Linked DNA regions of Drosophila melanogaster. The protein of the gene in region 2 interacts with the protein of the main gene of each other region in a pairwise test. Each region holds a gene or a part of one and is shown on either strand. Other genes may lie near its edges. The genes, in order: CG3819 and CG14658.

Region 1 (9,968 bases), on a different chromosome or scaffold from region 2:
AGTGCCTTCCTAAACGAGTGAAGCGCACAAAACCCGGCTAAAAAACAGAAAAGGGGGCATAAACAAGCCCCGCACATAAAAATGCAGAGTCAAACAGACAAACAAGAGCCCACTACACACTCGCACTTAAAACAAGCGACAAAGTCAAAGCGTCGCAGAGGGCGGTGGAAAAGGGGGGCGTGGCGGGAAATCGGGTGAAGGGAGTCGGAAAACTCAAAGACCAACGGCACCCGGGCGCACAGATACAAATGTAGCCGTGTATCTGTGTGGCCATGTGGATCCATTCTATCTGCACATATGCAATGAGTTGGGCATTTTTCTGCACCATTTTCCTTTAGTATTTTACATTTGTCTGTGTCGTGCGGCATTTGTTTTTGTTGTTCGGCTTTTTCTATTGCGAACGTGTTCAGCTTTTCTACGCTTTTCGTTTCGTTTGTTTTTCCGGCTGGCCGGGGGACACGAAAAGTTTTTTCTCCCGGAAAATTGTCACCTCATGCATAATTTATTGCAATCCAGAAGGTACAAATTCATTTTTCTTTGTTACGGAATCACTAAGTTTTTGGATTTTCACTAATTCGTTGTCTACACTTTTTTCTCCAATTTTATAAATCATATGCGCTGGACGTGTACCTTTATGAAGACGTACTGCACAAATTATTCTAAGCTTACCCTTAAAACTCGTTTATTTTCAAACAATTAAAAGTGCCTTAAAGTGGTTTACCACTGAAGGCTTCCACTGAAATTTGAGATTTAATTTATGGCGCTGGCTAAACCGCTTGAATTAATTTAATTCGCTTCTGTTCAAAGTCAAACTTTCCATTTTCACGCTAGAAACTTTCCCTTCACCCTCGCAAATTGCTTTCCAAAACAGAAGGCAGCCAACAAATTTCGCAACTTTATTTTCAGTTGTTTGTTCGACTTTGCGGGCCAACTGCTCGTGGAGAATTAAGATATATTCATAATTGCTGAAATGATATAAATGTTATAATCTTTTAATTTCAGCAATTCGACGCAATGTGCAAGGCCGAGGTGGCATTCTTTATTGCTCGTGCACTGATAAATGTAAGTAAAAATAAGTTAAGTTACTATATTAAAAACCAGAAGAGTGAATGAAATTGTGAATAAATGAAATTCATTTTTAACATATATAATCTTTCAATGGCCTCTTACATATTTGAGCAAAGGATTTATGAATTTCAAGCAGAGCCTTAGGTTTTCTGGAACATCCCTTGCTAAGGCAGTGGTAAATGACCTCATAGCCAGGTAAACTAGACCTATAACCAGCACATATACAATTGCATTTATTGTGGTCCGGGTTCGAAGATCACCCTGGCATCTGAAGTGTCCTTTAATGGTCGCCGCAGTCAACTTGCAAGCAAGTATCCCCAAATGGACGAATAACCAGGGAGCCATGTGATGAGGTGAAACCTAGTGTCAAAAAATTAGAAAACATCTTGAAACTTAAAATTGCATCTATAGAAAGTGAAGAAAACTTCGATCGTAAGAACTTGTGTTTATAGTATACGTTTAGGCATATCTAACAGTTCCAAAGACATTTCTTGTATTGGCGAACTATCTAAGTTTCAGTAGCAAAAAGGTGTGTTAAATGAATATCTAAACTTGGCTGAATCCAAGTTTTGTCACACAACCACTTACCAATAAAGCCGCATACAACAGATGCATCCAGATATTGGCTTGTATAAATGCTCCAGCCATTCTGAGTCTTCTCTTATTTTTTGGATTTTCGAAGCTCCCATCAACCTTATTGGTGAGGATTGACCTCCTAAACTGGGAAAGGCTGTGTATCTAGGGGAAAATCATCTAAAATTAAGTTTCTGAATCTTCGTCACCTACCGCTCCGTATAGACTAAATATGAGGACGAACCAATAATATATAGGATAAGAGGGTATGCCTTCACTCAGGTATTTCGCAAAGCAGCGCCTCACAATCCTGAATTTCCTGGATTCCAATAAACTAAAGAAACCTGATCTATCCCGGCAGGCATCTTCAATCACTTCGTAGGAACTTCCCAGAGAACATAGGCGGTATTTAACTGACATAAGTTTAATCATACTTCAAATTACGCGATCGAAAATCAGTATTCGTAAAAAAGCAATATGTGATCTCACACGAAATTTCGGAAATATTTTGAGCATTGACACGTATTGAAAATTGATACAAAGCAAGGTTTCAGGCTGTACGATGTCTTCCCATTTAGCGTACGCATCAGTCAATAACAATAGGGCCCAATTCCCTTTGCGAACATCCCTCCCATGGCTTAATCGATATGTGTAATAAATAATTTAATTACCAGCTAAGTCCATTAGTCCATTTACGCAGCATAAAAATGTTAGCTCATGTTTTTCTAGGGAAAAAGTGCGAGTGTGTGCGAATGTATCTGCGGAGGGGAATTTTATCTAATGGATATTTATGGTACCCAATTTGTTGCATTCCCTTTTGAACAGGTGCTGGCCATGTGGGGAGTGCTCCGTTTCTACAACTTGGTTCGTTCTGGAATCACATGGCGCGGACCAGAGGTAGGTCATTTAACAAATAAATATGAGTGGACAATATATCAAGTTACAATAATATTTATAATTTAATTACATTTTTTAATGGGTATTTTTATGCAAAGGCATTTAAAATTTATGATTTTTTCCAAGGAGCAATATTTTGCCACTACTTAGTGGAAAATGTTATTAGAATATTATTATGCTATTTAATTTTCCTTTAGTTAATTAAGGTTTTATCGTTCCTAGTAAGGGTATTTATACCAGAAATAAACGAGTCTTAATTCATTAGCGTAATCATTTGATATCCCCTTTCCCTTTAACCATTCTGTCTGCAGGCCAAGACAGCCATCTTTGCGCCGATGTACAAGAGTGTTACTACGAATAAGCCGCACACATACACCTACAGCAAGCGGTCAAGGCGCCGCCATAGCATCGATTCGACTTCCGGCGGATGCTGCGCCATCTTCGACTTTGACTTCGAGTACGACGATGATAACGACGACGACGACGATGAGGCTGCCTATGGCGATGGTCTGGATACGGAGGACGAAGTGGGCTACGACTACGATGATTACTACGATTACTACGACGACGACGAGCTGGCGGAGCAGCAGCACTTGGGGCTGCAACAGGACGATGGTGACTGTAGCATGTTGGGCGCTGGCAGGGCAACCAGATCGCGCTCCAAGCCAAGATCCGCTGTGGTCAAGGTCAAGGGTCAGCGGAGCGGAAGTCGCCGCACCAACAACAACATCCGCAGCGTGCTGATCAACAAGCGGCACAACAAGTACAAAATCGCGCGGCCCCAAACGCAGCTGGAGGTCATCAACGAGTCGGAGAAGAGCGCGGGGAGCGGCAGCGATGAGAATGATTCACTTTTGGTGGCCTATGACAGCAGTTCGTCGCTGGCGTCAGTTTGACATTGGCCGCCATGCAAATCGGGAACCGGAAATGGAAATGCAGCCGTTGGGACAACGGGAAGTGATAGAGCCAGTGGAACAAATAGCGGTGGAAAGTGCCATAACAGCGCCTGCAACTGCAACTGCAATGGCGGCAACAACACCGGAAGCGGAAGTGAAACCGACGACGACGACGGCGATCCTGACGAGAGCCAGCATCTGGAACCTGAGTGGCCGAAGAGCTACCGCCGCGGTGGTCAATGTTGTGGTCAGCGTCAACGCCGACGTCCACTGCGACGCGTCTACTGCGCTGTGAATCTGTCCATCATGGGCCTCCTGGTGGCCGTGGAGATCTACGCCCAGATTGCCATATTCCTGTAGATCAAAACACCTCTCTCTCTCTCTCTCTCTTAATAAAAATGGGTTTTCCCATGGCCAAAATCATATAATATAATTCCAAGCGCCGTTTTTGGTCCACAAGGTACATTACAGTCAACAGAACTTGAAACATACTGTCTCAATGTCAGCAGACACTGCAGCTTTAAATGTAAATAATTTACATACAATATCTTCAAGTAACTAAAACACAGATCTTTTCTCACTCAAGCTACAGCTTTCACAATATTGCGAAAACTCAAATGCTATAATCTATGCCATGGCCATATAAAGTTTTACGTTCTATATAATTTAAAGTAACCAAAAATATAAAGAACAATATCCATAAAAAAAGAACATTTTCTTTTTTTAAGATTTCTGCTAAATCATATTTTAAAAATTTCAAACATTCTAATCAGCTTAAAAACCTTAAGCCTCTTACAAAATGTAACAAATCTAATGTAAATACTTCATAGCAAAATGGTCCGTATTAATAAGAACAATAATAGAAATTAATCTAAATGTGTAAAATTTAAAAGGCGTAGTGCATATCCAGAATTAAATAAATAAACACAATAGCTCTCCAAGAGATACCATTTTTATGTTAATAACCCAGTAATAAGTTAACAGATAAAAGACATTTTATTGCGCAGCCCAAATAAAAGCTTTAAAATAATTAAGCATAATAATAATCGCATGTCTACCCAAAACCAATAAAATAGCCCTAACAAAAGTAACAGAAACAATAAGAGTACATATTAAAGAAAATAAACAATGAAAGATTTAAATGATTGCAAAGTGCTAAGGAAATTACTTTGTAAATACTTCCAGCTATCTCAAGTTGATGTCAGTGACGTACAAAAATTGAAAAAGCAAAATAAACCATATCTATAAATGTTGTATATATAGTAAGTAATCTTAAGTACAGCTGCGCCAAAAAAAAAAGAACACTAGACAGCCAGTTTAAAACTAACCAATAAATGTGAGTTGATGTATACCTTACGATAAAACCATAATAAACCCTTGATATTTGTGAAAAAGTTCAGCGCCTTCATTATTGGGCGATAACCAAACGTGCTGAACACGTGAAAGAGAAAGAAGCTCCACACGGATCGCAGCCATTTAATTTGGCCCACACTCGGGAATACGCCTAATCATGGGGGCCAAAACTAATTAAATGATAATGCCGGCGGTGGGAAGTTAGCAGCCGAATCTGGGGACACGTGAAGCAATCAAAGCATCAGCAAGTGCCGGTATCAACCCGCAAACATGGTCGCAATCAGGGGAATCTAATCAATCATCGGACATCCAGTTGGTTTAAAAGCACCCGGCCTTCCCGAGGTCCAAATCAGTTGCGAAACATGAAGTGCCTAGTGTTGATTGCCTTCAGTGGCCTCTTCTTGGCCAGTGCCCAGGCCCGAATCCTTCCCGCGGAGGATCTCCCCTGGGAGTTGCCAGAAGTTCCGGTAGCGGTCAACGAGATTGAACCCAGAGCAGGTGACTACTAAAACGTAATTAAACTCATTCTTTCATTTTTGGACATTTAAAAAATTTAAAAAAATCTTTAAAAATTTAAAGACCGATAAACTTGTTTAATCAAAACTACTTACAATGGCATAAATTCTATTTTACCAATAACAGATATTCAATGGGAATGGGAAATATTCTCTTAATTAAAATACTGATTTAATTACAATATAATTTACAATACCTTCTACATTTATAAATATAATTGAAAATATTCTTTATCGTAGCTGGTTGTTCAATTAAGATCCGCAGCTCTGAGCTGAAGGATCCCCAGCCTCTGCTGATTAAATCGGACACCTCTGAAATCGTTGGATTCTCGGACACCGGCTATGTGGACGTGGACAAGGACAAGACCATCGAATTCCACTGCACCAGCAGCCTGGCTTCCCCTCTGTCTGGAAAATCCGTGACCGCCAAGTGCGTGGGTGGCACCACCTTCAAGATTGACGATAAGGAGCACGATCTGTCCGCCATCAAGTGCACATCGTGGCCAGTTTTTGTGGGCAAGAAGTCCGGATCCAGCTGCAATGGTGGCACCACGCTGATCAAGGTGGGCTTTGAGCTCTCCGGCTCACGATTCGCAACGCAGTACGAGGTATGCTTCAACGAGGACGAGGAGGTGACCAGGTACGTCTATCATCGCCTGGAACCGGGAAACAACTACTATGCCACCGGAGTGGATCGCATTACATTTGGAGCCGGCGGCTATTTCGCGGGTAAGAATGTGGACAAGCTATACACGCAGGCTGTTCAGAAGGAGACCATCGACAAGGAGCTGGACATGGATTCATCCCGTTTCTTTGACTCGGCCAAGAACATCTTCCTGGCCCGTGGTCACATGGGTGCCAAGGCTGACTTCGTATTTGCCCCGGAGCAGAGGGCCACCTTCCTGTTCATCAACGCTGCTCCTCAGTGGCAGACCTTCAATGCTGGTAACTGGGCTCGCGTGGAGGACGGAGTTCGTGCCTGGGTGGCCAAGGAGAACAAGCACGTGGAGTGCTGGACGGGAGTCTGGGGTGTTACCACGCTGCCCAACAAGAATGGGGAACAGAGGCAACTCTATTTGTCCCACGATAACAACGGCAACGGTCTGATTCCAGTTCCCAAGCTATACTTCCGAGTGGTAATCGAACCATCCACCAAGAAGGGCATCGTTCTGATCGGCGTCAACAATCCCCATTTGAGTTTGGAGGAGATCAAGCGGGACTACATCCTGTGCACGGACGTCAGCGACAGGATCAACTGGATCAGCTGGAAGAAGACGGACATCACCGCCGGTTACTCCTACGCCTGCGAGGTTCCGGAGTTCCGCAAGAAGGTGACGCATCTGCCCGAGTTCTCCGTCAGCGGACTGTTGGTCTAAACTGGTTATGTTTGAAATAATAAATAATACCTTTACATCGAAACACTTTGATTTGTTTTTAAAACATCTGCAACAAGGAAACTTTTGAGAAAATACTGGAGAAATAAATAATTTGAGAAAAAAATGGAAAAAATATGAATGAATTCGTTTATATTTTTAAGATTGCATACGATAAATCCATTACAACCATTTTCCATTTTGAGTAGATTGGCGAAATCAAATAATGCATTTGTTACCTGTCAAAAAATATTTAAAATTCTCCAATGTTGCTACTGAAATATGGAGTATCTAGGAAAATCTTCAGTTTCCTACTGTTCCTCTTGTTGCTTCTGCCGATCCTTGACGCCGGTGATCCGATTGGCAGCCACTTCGTCCGCCGGCGGGCTAAACGCCTTTCCAGTCCCTATTTCGACAAGGAAAAAACGTTGGTTCTGGCCAAATATGTAGTCTCGATTCGATCCCGAAGACCCCACAAGTTATTTGGCGACAATCACTTCTGCGGTGGCGTGATCATATCGAGAACCTACATCCTCACCTCCGCCCACTGCGCCATGGAGTAGGTATAGAAAAGATCAATATATAATTGACTGTTATGTCCTTTAATCAATGCAAAAGTAAGCGCAAGATCGTACATCGCAGTCGGGTGTTGGTGGTTGTGGCTGGAACCACAAATCGTCTGAAATCCCGCAAAGGACTCTCTTTAAACATGGAGGTGAAGAAGATCTTTGTCCCAGACAAGTTCACAGTATTCAATACGAACAACATTGCGCTGATGATGCTGGCCAAAAAACTACCCTTGGACAATCCGCTTGTGGGTGTGATCAATCTGCCTACGGCTGACCCAGAACCGGGTTTGAACTACACGGTGCTGGGCTGGGGAAGGATCTTCAAGGTAAGTTGTGGTAGTTACGAACTATAAGTAGGTTTATTATTAACTATAGGGCGGTCCCCTGGCCTCGGACATCCTGCACATTGACGTGGAGCTATTGCCCCGGGATATCTGTGAGAAGAAAGTCCACATCTTCAAGGAGGAGATGATGTGCGCCGGAAATCTGAACAACACCATGGACGAGAATCCCTGTGCCGGTGACACCGGAAGCCCACTGATTTTCAACGAAACAGTCTTTGGTGTGGTTAGCTACCGAGTAGGCTGTGGATCTAAAACTTTGCCCTCCATTTATACCAACGTCTACATGCATATGGACTGGATTAATGGCATTATGAACAATAATGAAGCGAACCGATTGTGTTACTCTCCCAACTATCTATTCACCACCATTGGTATAATCATTGGAAATAAAATTCTGAAAAGTTGGGGATTTTATTTGATCACCATTTAAACGAGGAGACCTCCCTTGGCGGTCAAAGCGGGCAGGTGCTTCACGGTCTTCAGGAAATCGGCCACCTCGCAAGCATAGGACCAACCGGCCTTGATGTCTGTAGTCTTCCAGTTGATGTAGGTCACCTGATCGCTGACATCGTCACAGATGACATAGTCGCGCTTGATCTGCTCCTCGGTGAGATGGGGATTGTTGACGCCCACAAAGACAATGCCCCTGTGGGAGGAGGGATCGATGACAACGCGGAAGTAGAGCTTCGGCACGGGGATCAGGCCATTGTTGTTGTCATCCTTGGCCAGATAAAGCGGCGTCTCCACACCGTCCTTGTTGGGCAGAGTGGTCACGCCGTAGACACCGGTATAGCAGTTCACGTTCAGCTTGTTCTTGGAGACCCAGGCCCTCAGACCATCCTCCACACGAGCCCAGTTTCCGGCATTGAAGGTCTGCCACTGAGGAGCGGCGTTAATAAACAGGAAGGTTGCCCTCTGCTCGGGAGCGTAGTCGAAATCAGCCTTGGCACCCAGGTGACCACGTGCCAGGTAGACATTGCTGCTACTATCGAAGTACTTTTCCGCATCTCCGCCCAGTTCATTGTTGATGGTCTCCAGCTGGGTGGCTTGGGTGTACAGTTTGTCCACGTTCTTTCCATCAAAGAAGCCAGCCGTTTGGAAGGTAATTCTAGCCACTCCGGTCTCGTAGTAGTTGCTTCCGGGCTCCAACTTGTGGCGAGTGTATCGGGTCACTTCCTCCTCTTCGTTGAAGCAAATCTGCATCTGCTCGGCAAACCTCGATGAGGTGATCTCGAAACCTACGCGGATCACAATGCCACCGTTGCAGGTGGCTCCGGACTTAACAGCCTTGAATCCCGGCCAGGATTTACAGTACAGGTCCTTGAACTCGAAGTTAGATCCGCCCACGCTGAAGGTGGTTCCACTCACACAACTGGCGGTAAGCAGATTCTCCGAATGAGTGTTGAATCCTGAGGGACACCACAGCTGCAATGAGCCGCCCGACTCGAATTCCATGACACCGACGTCGGAAAAGGGATAAAAGTCCTCGGAATCGGTTTTCAGGTACACTGGCTCGGGACTGGGCAATCCTCCGCGAATAGTAACACTGCAGGCTGAAAAAACATATTAGTTGCCAAATTTATTTAAATTTTACAACTGAAATAATTTACTTGGTTGGAAGAAAGGACTCGCAGTCAATAGAAATTATTTATCTATCTATTTTGGGCTCTTTAAATTAATCTTTAGAATCCTAATATTTATATTTTCTATCTTTTATAGTTCCCGAGATCTCTAAGTTAATAAAGTAAGTACACGTAACTATCTATCCTGATCAAGACTATATATATATAAAATCATTTTAACTAGGGGTTAAATATACATATATACACAAATTCAAAAATTGTACGAACTTGAAAATAATGCATTTCAGTAGTATTATATGATGCAATTAAATTAAATCGACCTACCTCCTGCACGACCCACGGGCTGAGGTGGCGCCACAGCAATCCGTTCGAAGATCCCGTCATCCTCGACCACTGGAGGAAGCTCCACCTCCGGACAGGGAACTCGAGCCCAGGCAGCCGGAGCCGCCAGCAGGCCAACTACCAGCAATGAGAATCGGATGCACTTCATTTTAGATTTAACAAACAAACGGCCTTTGAGGCATCTTTAAATAGCCCACGACCATATCGCGCAAATTAATGAAAAATAGTTAATGAAACGAATCTCGCCATTCTGACCATTATCTCTGCAAAACAATGAAATATTGGTCTTATCTATTCACGTGAAGTGTCGAAGTGTGCGGATTTTTACGGTCCTACGTAGACCCATTCATTCGAGCTTAATTGGTTTGAGACACTTAGTGCTTTTTTGGACAAGTGGGAAAGTTATGGGAATTACCCAAACAATGCAGATAATTTGTAGCTACAAAAATAGAACG
Region 2 (8,995 bases):
GCCCTTTGTATTTGGTTCTTCTTTCTATCTTCTCCCCGATGTTTTTGTTATTCCCTCTCTCCCATTATGGACGTTGTTTTGTGGCGGCCCAGTGGGACACTTTCCATCATCAACACTCTGCCGGCTGATGGCTGATGGGTGATGGAACGTTTCGCCTTCCAGCTTCGGCATCAGCCCCCAAAGGGGATTCTCCACTCGAGCGCTTTTCGCGGTGAGGGGGGCGGAGGAGGGAGAAATGGGGCAGGGACGGGACGGGACAATCCAGGGAAAAGACGCTATGGGGGCGATCGTATTGATATATGTTGGTGCTCGGAGTAAATCAAAATTGATTTGCCGAGCTAGACGCTTTGGGTAATGAAGTTTTTAATGAACTGGCTTGGGCAGTCGAGAATTTGTAGGGTCCCAATGGACAACAGATGAAAATGGAGGCACTTCGATCCTCTCCACTACTTTTTTTAAAAAACATGCAGAGATATTATGGAACATAAATCCTAAATAGCGGGCATGCTTTTCATAATTTGACACTAGTTCGCCATGTCAAGTAAGTGATTAAAAACATATTAGATTGAATTTGATATATTATATAGACAGGATTATTAAATTATGTGTCGGAAATGGTAATTCATCAAAAAACTGCTTTTATCCAATAAATATAATAATATATGAGATAATCTCAATTTTAATCGACAGATGGCTTTAATTATATCATTCCGCGGGTATATTGATTTTAGTCAGAAGATTGCTTATAAAAAGTATATATATTCTTGATCAGTATCATCGGCCGAGTCGATATTGCAATGTCCGTCTAAGCAAACTAGTCTTTTACTTTTAAAGCAACTCGAATGCATATGTCCAGAAAGAATTCTTTCTAATACTGAAAGTATATAAGTGAAATCGGATCTGGTGACCATATTATATAGGAAAAAAATTACAATACATAATTTTGGCATTAAACTGATCGAAATCGGGTGACTGCATCGTATAGCTGGCATTAGAATATGTCATTATTATTCATAGGCATAATATAAAGAAATCATAGTTTCTATCTTGTTATCCCTAAATGGCTCTTATTCAGCTTAAAGATATAATTACTGAAAGGGATATTCCTTAAATTTTTCTTAGAAAACAGAAGGCAAGTAAAAACTTAGGGGAAAGGGCCAGAAACACTTCGAAAGCGAACTACTTACCTATACACCTTACCAATTACACAAGTAATCTAAACCGAGACCCAGTTGAGGAAGCCACTGGCAAGTCCACAAACACGGAACCGAAACGGAAATTTCAAGGGGAGTCTGGTCCAAAAACAAAACCGGCCAGAACGGCATGAAATGCGAGGGGCAAGGAGGTGCTGCAGAGGGGCGGCGGCCATTACTTGGGCTCCTGCCTTGGCCAATAAAATGAGCTAAGAAATGGGCACAGCTGTGGGATTGTGGGACTGTCCCTGAACGAGTCGCAATCGCGGTTTGGGGCGCCTCCGAAAAGTCCACTACAAAGGCTAAAAAAGTTGGGGTCGAAATTGATTTTGCGGTAGCCCAGGCAATAAATGCCAAAATGCGAGATGGCCAATAGAAGAGGGCATGGGAAAGGCGAGGAAGTGGTTTGTGCACAGAGAGATGATATTTATTAGTTTTAATATCACTTTTTGTAATAGGTTTGTAGTAGGTTTTCTTTCCAAGCCTTATACATTGAAGAGCAGAGCTATCAAGTATAGGTATCGAAATAAATTAAAACCATCTTTTATCGAAAGGATTCTGTTGCCCAACTTATTTCACACACTTTTCGCTCAGTGTTGCAATGCAATTGCATTGCGGCCTTGCGCAGTGCACAAAAGGTTTGACAAAGTGAGAAATATGCATGGCAAACAAGGAGCACCAGCTTGCCACCACCCCTCCGGACCCTGCGCGTCCTGCCCGACCACTCCCCTTTCGTCCCTTCAACTGCAACGAGGAAATATGATGACATATCGCGTCATAGTTCAAACGGCGGGGACTCCACTGATCAATTTTGTACGCAGCACGGCGCCATCTTTTTGGCCCTTGCAAGGGAGCAGGACCTTCCTTTTTTCGAGGATTTACTGTGCATTGCGATGCGGGGTGTGGCGGGGCTGGGTGAAACGAAAAGGGATGAGGAGGGGGGGGGGGGTTCTTGGTCTGGTCAGTGGCGCACAGAGTATTCGGTTTTTCGGTTGCTTTTGCTTCGTTTCGAGTGAGCCAAATCGCAGGCCATAATTTTTTATTATGCCGGGCGCAGGGAAAACGAGAGGGCCAAGACGTCGGCTGGTGGCTTCCGTTGGTGGAGTTGGCTCTCGGCCCGGAGTAGCCATAAAAATAATTAATTGGCTTTTATGTGGCAGGAGCCGTTGAAATTTCGCTTGTTTTCCAACTCTTTCCGCTCCCTTTACCCTGCCAGTGCAATTTCTGAATTGCATTTGCCTGTTTAATTAGCCGTATTAATTATCTCCATAATCAGCATCTGTTCTGTGGTCACACACACACACACACTCACACGCGGGCAAAGCTCATTTCCGCTTCAGCCGACGGCCATTTTGTTTTTATCCGTGGCTGTTTTGACGTTGTAATTAGTTTTTGCGGTTTTCCATTGGCCATTCGACCGCAAATGCAATTGTTATTTCGTTTGCGTTCTTCCTGCAAAATTAGAGTAAAACTTTATTTCATTTCTATTTCTCAGCCGGGAGATGATAGTCAGTTATGCATGTAGCTCATGTCGATTATAATCCTATTGGGTTCCATATGTTCCAATGCTATTTGATGAAATTTGAAGTACATCCTTATCGAAATTGGTAATACGTTTTTATGTGACATTCTGTTTCTATGTCACATAACAAAAACGACACTAATCATCTGGAAGTGAATTTGATGTCAGTTCGTTTGCAGCATCCGGTTTCTTACCAGTAGACAAGTATTAATAGACTTAAGTTTTAAAAGGTATTTATTTTTTAACAGCTAGAAAAAAAGCCGTAAATTCCTTCAGTTTTGCCTTGCCTTTGGCGTGGAAAACACACAACTCACTTGATTAGCCAACGAACTTTTGCTCTTGCCCATTTGCACATGATTTCCATTATATTTTTCCCATTCCAAATCATGCCACTTACTTAATGTTGTACCATACATTTCCCAGCCCTTTCTTTCAGCTAGCTTCATTCTACTCCGTATGAAACCATCATCATGAACATTATTCTATTCCATTAATTTATGCGCAGAAAACTGCAGCACAGTATGAAGCATTTTTCTCGGTTCTTGCTGCTTGAAAATGTAGAGAAATTGAACAAAAATGTTGAAAACACACGAGGCAAATGTCGAATCGATGCGGGAAGGAAGAGGAAACTCGAGCAAAATTAATGGGGTATAATCAACGAAGAAAATATATGGTTATTAAACAGAGAGCGATCCATAAGTAACCGAATAATTGGATAATTAAATTTTATTCATTTTACTATTGTAGAAAGTTACTGGAGAAATTCACCGACACTATGGTAAATGGCACATGAGAGAAAGTGGTGTATTGATAAAAGTGCAGTATTTCGTTCTTCAATAACTTCGCACCGATAAATAAATAACGCGTCCTCAACGATATTGATTTGAGCATTTTCTATATGAAAATCTGGCCTAGATCGACTCTCGGCATACTTAGATCGAGATCAAACTATTGTCAGGTTGCAAATGTCTATCGATAATTTTTTCCGATTCTCAGGAAAGGCGTCCCAGTTTCCTAGACTTTTTAGACGTAAGAAAAAAGGTGCGTGTCCCGAAAATAAAATCAACACTGACACTTTTCGGTGATCGCAAAGTTTACAAACTGTAAAAGTTAGCTTGGCAAAAAAAAGTCCGATAGGTTAAACAAAGGCGAACTTAAATGCGCAATTCACTGTGGGCAAAGGAAACACCCCTTAAAAATTCGTTTATTTTCGCATTATTTCGCGTTTTTCGCGCCAAAAGGGAAACACAAAGGATTTGACTAAAAAGCGACCAAGAACACACAATAAGGTTGATCTCCAAAGCCAGATTTTCGCGCAATTAGGCGCAATGAGCCGGAAATGCAAATAAAGAGTATGTACAACTGCACACAAATATATCCACGGGCCTTGGGTCGGGCAAGGCCAATTGTTCACTTATCCATCCCCTGATGACGATTACGGAAAACTTTAGCGACGGAGATGATGACGATAATGACGATGATGACGGCTCTCATATAGTATGTATGATCCATTGTTCTACGGGGCTGACATTTCCCCGGGGGAAGTCCAATCAAAAGCTGAAATGGCTGAGGCGAAGGTTTCTGGGATGCTGCGCTTTTGTTTTTTCGGAGCCTACGTCGCGACTTCGTCCTGCAAGCGCAAGGACAACAGGATAACAAAAAACACTATACAATAAAGGCCTACTGACATAGCCGAAAATCGATTCTAAGAACGAATGCGGTTTGGTATCGCAGTTGATTGCGCACCAATGGAATCAAATGTTGTTTTTTATTTTTAACAGCTTTGTACTTTTATAGGGGTCAAAATCACTTTTTGCCTGTAATTGAACCGAAGAACGATACGAACTTGTATTGTATATTGTATATAAGGATGTAATGTATTTCCTTACCCATACTTGATCATATGTACTTTCAGATCAACTTGAGATGTACCAAAACCTATTCAGCATATAATGGCAATATTGGTAATGGCAAATCACCCCACATCAAACCAAAAAGAATTAAGCATTCTAACCGTGTTTATTGGCGCATCATCATAGGGAGTTCTTTGTACAACGATTGCAATGTTGTACTCGTACATATACAGTTGTTTGGCTTAGCAATTTTGACAGAGTTTACCCTTCGATTGGCATGTTGGACATTTTGAGTGTGTGTTTTACTGGTTTTTGGGCTGGCTCTCCAATAGCTTGCGGTTCTGCTCCTCACGCCTCCGCTTGGCCATCTCGAAGGCCGTTATCTGTTTCCGGGCACGAGGTCCGGCCTTGCTCCGGAATCGCTGTTGGCGCACATAGAGGGGCCTGCGCTGGTTGAGCCACCAGCTGAAGTCCGCCGGGATCCTGCCGAACTTGCTGACCATGTTGCGGTGCCTCTGGATCTCCTCACGCCTCTCCAGCCACTTCCTCCCGTACTCCCAGCCGAGCAGCCAACCCATCACCGGCCTTTCCTCGCACAGCTCCGGAATGGGATCTGGCCGATCTGCCGGCGGAAGGATCGCTGAACCGTGATCCCTAGCCGGAATCAGTGGCGAGCGGCTCCAGATCTTGATCTTTGAAATCATTATTGAGTGGAATTATATGCTTGTCGTGTCGGTGCTGTGTGATTTGATACGGAGTCTGTCTGGGACTGAGGCTTTGTGTCTGCTGGGTCAAGAGCTACTTGATTATGAAAAATTTTCCAATGTTCCAATACGGTTGTACAAACAATTGTACATTCAAATTTTAACTTAGTCAATTAGTTACTTTAATGAAAGGTAATTAAAGGACTTCACCGCTTTCTATGGAATTTTCCGATTTAGATTAGATTTATCATTAGCACAACAAAACCCATCAGCAGCTTTCGCTTTACTCCAACAGATGTCGCACCATGCAGATATAGCATTAAATTAATTGATTACCTATTATTATTATTACGTTTAAAATCTATACATTACATACTATTTTTGTATTATCTTTATTCATTTAGATACACATTTTATAAAAAAGCCAGAACGTGAAGACAATTAACAATTTTTACAAAATTTCATATTCAAAAACTGGACAACTTAATGAACACAAATAAAACGTCAAGATCTGATCAGCTGTTGCTTAGTCTTTATGGCCCTCCGCTTCTCAAGCCAACTGGTATAGTTGGGTGGAATGAAGTTGGCCTCCTTCTTTATCTTCAACTTGGTCTCCATCCTGTGTATATCACGCTCCTCCATCCACTGGCGACCGTAGTGCCAGGATAGAAGCAGTGCCATTTGGGGCTCCTCCTGCTCGTACGTCGGTGTGAATGACTGGTGCCAGATACTTACTTTCGCCCTCTCGTTTTTTGGGCGGAAAGCCTTTGCCGGCTCCCAATATTTCTTTTCCGACATTTTCTTGATTTTTTTTGTTGCTGTCTGTCTTGCTTAGAAAATATAGCATTTCTACATAATAACATCAATCAGATTTCGAAGAAACCGATTAAAGGTGAAGGAAATATCAAGTATGGAATGATTTACATTACCAAAAAGCTCAATTTCAGCGCGTTTTGACTCTTTTGGAAATCTTTCTTTGAAAATTTCTATCGATCGAAAATTCTATCGAAAAAACTTGTTGCCAGCCCACTCTAACGCCCTCAAATACAACAATTTGAACAATTCTATTTCTCATTTTATTCACCAAAATCTATTGATATCCTAGAAAAAGTATGAAATTTCGCGATCGCATTTTCACTAGCTGAGTAACGGGTATATGATAATCGGGCAAGTCGACTATAGCATTCTCTCTTTTTGTGGTATACTATATATATATGTACTATGGAATATATATTTTTGCGGATAGCTTTAAAATTGATAGGCTAGTTTGCGTAGAATAGAACGGACAGACATACGGGCATTGTTATATCAAAGAATCTATTAATACTCATTAAATATATGTATTTGCAAGATTATAAAAACATGAAATTAGATATATATTTTTTTCTTAATTTTCGTACCCCTGGTGTACATACAGTTGCGGTAACAATAATGGCACCATAAGCACATTTCGTGTTTGTCTCAACGTTTCTCTATTTTCTGACATTTTTTCATACTTTTACTCACTAAACTTAAATACTACAATGATTTTCAATCGAAATAAAAAAATTAATAACAGATGTAATGGATATTTTAAAAATAATTGGTAAAACAAAAAAAAAGTTCAAATTTAGGCGGTAACAAAAATAGCACTGTTTCTCGTAGTTTGCTAAAACTAACCAAAAAAAAATAAAAAAATAATTCAACAAATGAATTATATCTTAAGAACTATGTTTAAAGAATCTTAATATTTGGTTGCGTGACCTTTGTTGGCAATGACAGCCGCGCATCGTCCTGGCATGGAGTCCACCAAGTCCTGGCATCGTTATTGAGTAGTTTTGCTCCATGGATCCTTGACCAGACCCCAAAGATCATCGTTATTATTGGGTTTGGCTTCAGAGACCTTTTTTTCACGTCCGCCCAAAGGTTTTCGATTGGATTCAAGTCGGGTGACTGAGCAGGCCAGTTCATTCCTCGGATCGATTTCTGCTCTAACCACTTTCGAGCGTTCTTCCTCGTGTGTTTTGGGTCGTTATCCTGTTGAAATATTCAAACCAACGGCATTTCATCCTCGGCATATGACAGCATCACATTTTCCAGGATATCTGTGTAAATGTCCTGATCCATGATGCCTTGAATCTAATGGATCGGACCTACTCCATAGTACGAAAAGCACGCCCGTACCATTGTGTTTGATCCCCCGTACTTTACCGCCTTAAAGGTGAAGCGAGGATTATATTCAGTTCGTGGAGGACGCCGAACATAAGACCAAGACAACACAAACAACACAATTTTGGTCTCATCTGACCACAAAATGTTGCGCCACTTCTCCACAGGCCAGTCCTTGGGAATCTTGGCATATTCTATTCGCTTTGCCACATGCTTAACAGTCAAAAGCGGGACTTTTCTTGGGCTGCACGCATTAAGGTTGTTTTGTTTTTATTTTTTTTTTTTTTTTGTTTTATTATTCATGCAATCTGACTTTAAAAAATATAAACATTTAATAATTTTTTTTTGAAAATGAACTTTCCACCTGCAATAGTGCTATTATTTTAAACGCAGCTGTATAACTAATTGTGTCGTTTATTATAGATTTTTTAAGAAGTAATATAATTTGGTTGCATGTGATTATTGGAGTATTCCTTCGTTACGATGTGAAAACTACATATTTATGAAATTGCCAACTGCTAATTGAACAAAAACCCGACAAAAGTGCTGCTAATGGACAAAACACATATAACACAAATGGCACAGACAACGGACAACAAACCGCCCATCGACAAGGGTCGCAAATTGGGAGGAAATACAAACAGATGGAAATCTGTGTATAAAACCCAAGCAACCCGAAGTGGAGAAACTGGAAATGTGAAAAGCGCGGCATGCGGCCCAAGTCAGCGGGGGCGACCAATAGGTCAAGTACGAACTGCATTGGCTCGCTTTAGTTTTAGCGGCTCCGGAAGTGAAACAGTTTGATGGAGCCCTGACGTGGGCAGAACTACGCGTGCCAAAAGGTGCACAGAGGCCTTAGCGGAATTCGGAAGACAGCTGGTTTTCATTCACAATTCACAATTTACAATACGCAATTATGCAATAAAAGGTGGCGAACTTAAATGCAACCTGGTATTCTAAACATAATGCTGGGAAAACAATGACCATGGGCCAAATGGTGGTTAAAATTCACCACCTCTCCTTTTTTGGTAACAGGAAAGTGATGGCATTATTTATTGACAAAATTCAACGAAATCCATTATAAATATACATGTAAGTCACAAGCCCCCTATATGGCCTTTGGAAAATGCTATACTTACTTTGTTTGGCAGTCAAGTCGGTTGCTCACAGTACGAAATGAGCTGAGTTGGCAGCACTGATTGTAAGTCGCTTTCCCGCTCGCACGCCGCTCGGCTGTCTCCGTCCTTGTTTGGCATCCACCACTGCGCTCCTCCGCCCGCCTGCCTGTAGTCATTTCTCATCGCCACCGGGTTGTTTCCTTGTAATTTGTCACCGCTGGAGCCCATTTCTGCGGCGTAATTTGTTTGCAACTCATTTCGGGATTCATTTCCATGGCTGGGTTGTCTCTTTGTTTGCTTGCCTTTGTTTTGGTCAGCTGCCTTGGGCTCGGTGCATTTAATTAAAATTATTATTGCTTGTAATTGGGGAGCGAAGGTGGGTTATTCGTAGGGTCAAATAAGCAGACCGACTTGCATTACAACGTTTTACGGAATGAAGTGTCAATGTAATGCAACC

Evidence for each region.
Region 1: the proteins of CG14658 (region 2) and CG3819 interact in a two-hybrid assay, tested with the Drosophila melanogaster proteins (one large-scale study listed by BioGRID).

The regions. Positions count from the first base shown.
Region 1 is NT_037436.4:18,917,274-18,927,241, reverse strand, and holds CG3819 (uncharacterized protein), read left to right. Parts: upstream 1-5,133; 5' UTR 5,134-5,149; coding exon 5,150-5,285; intron 5,286-5,542; coding exon 5,543-6,678; 3' UTR 6,679-6,812; downstream 6,813-9,968. Other genes in the region: CG43049 (uncharacterized protein), read right to left, coding at 1,156-1,428, 1,657-1,806, 1,855-2,073; CG32204 (uncharacterized protein), read left to right, coding at 1,003-1,062, 2,467-2,538, 2,850-3,434; CG18223 (uncharacterized protein), read left to right, coding at 6,942-7,234, 7,294-7,570, 7,620-8,018; CG6839 (uncharacterized protein), read right to left, coding at 8,015-9,141, 9,496-9,661.
Region 2 is NT_033777.3:4,825,194-4,834,188, forward strand, and holds CG14658 (uncharacterized protein), read right to left. Parts: upstream 5,321-8,995; 5' UTR 5,273-5,320; coding exon 4,871-5,272; 3' UTR 4,718-4,870; downstream 1-4,717. Other genes in the region: CG14659 (uncharacterized protein), read right to left, coding at 5,777-6,070.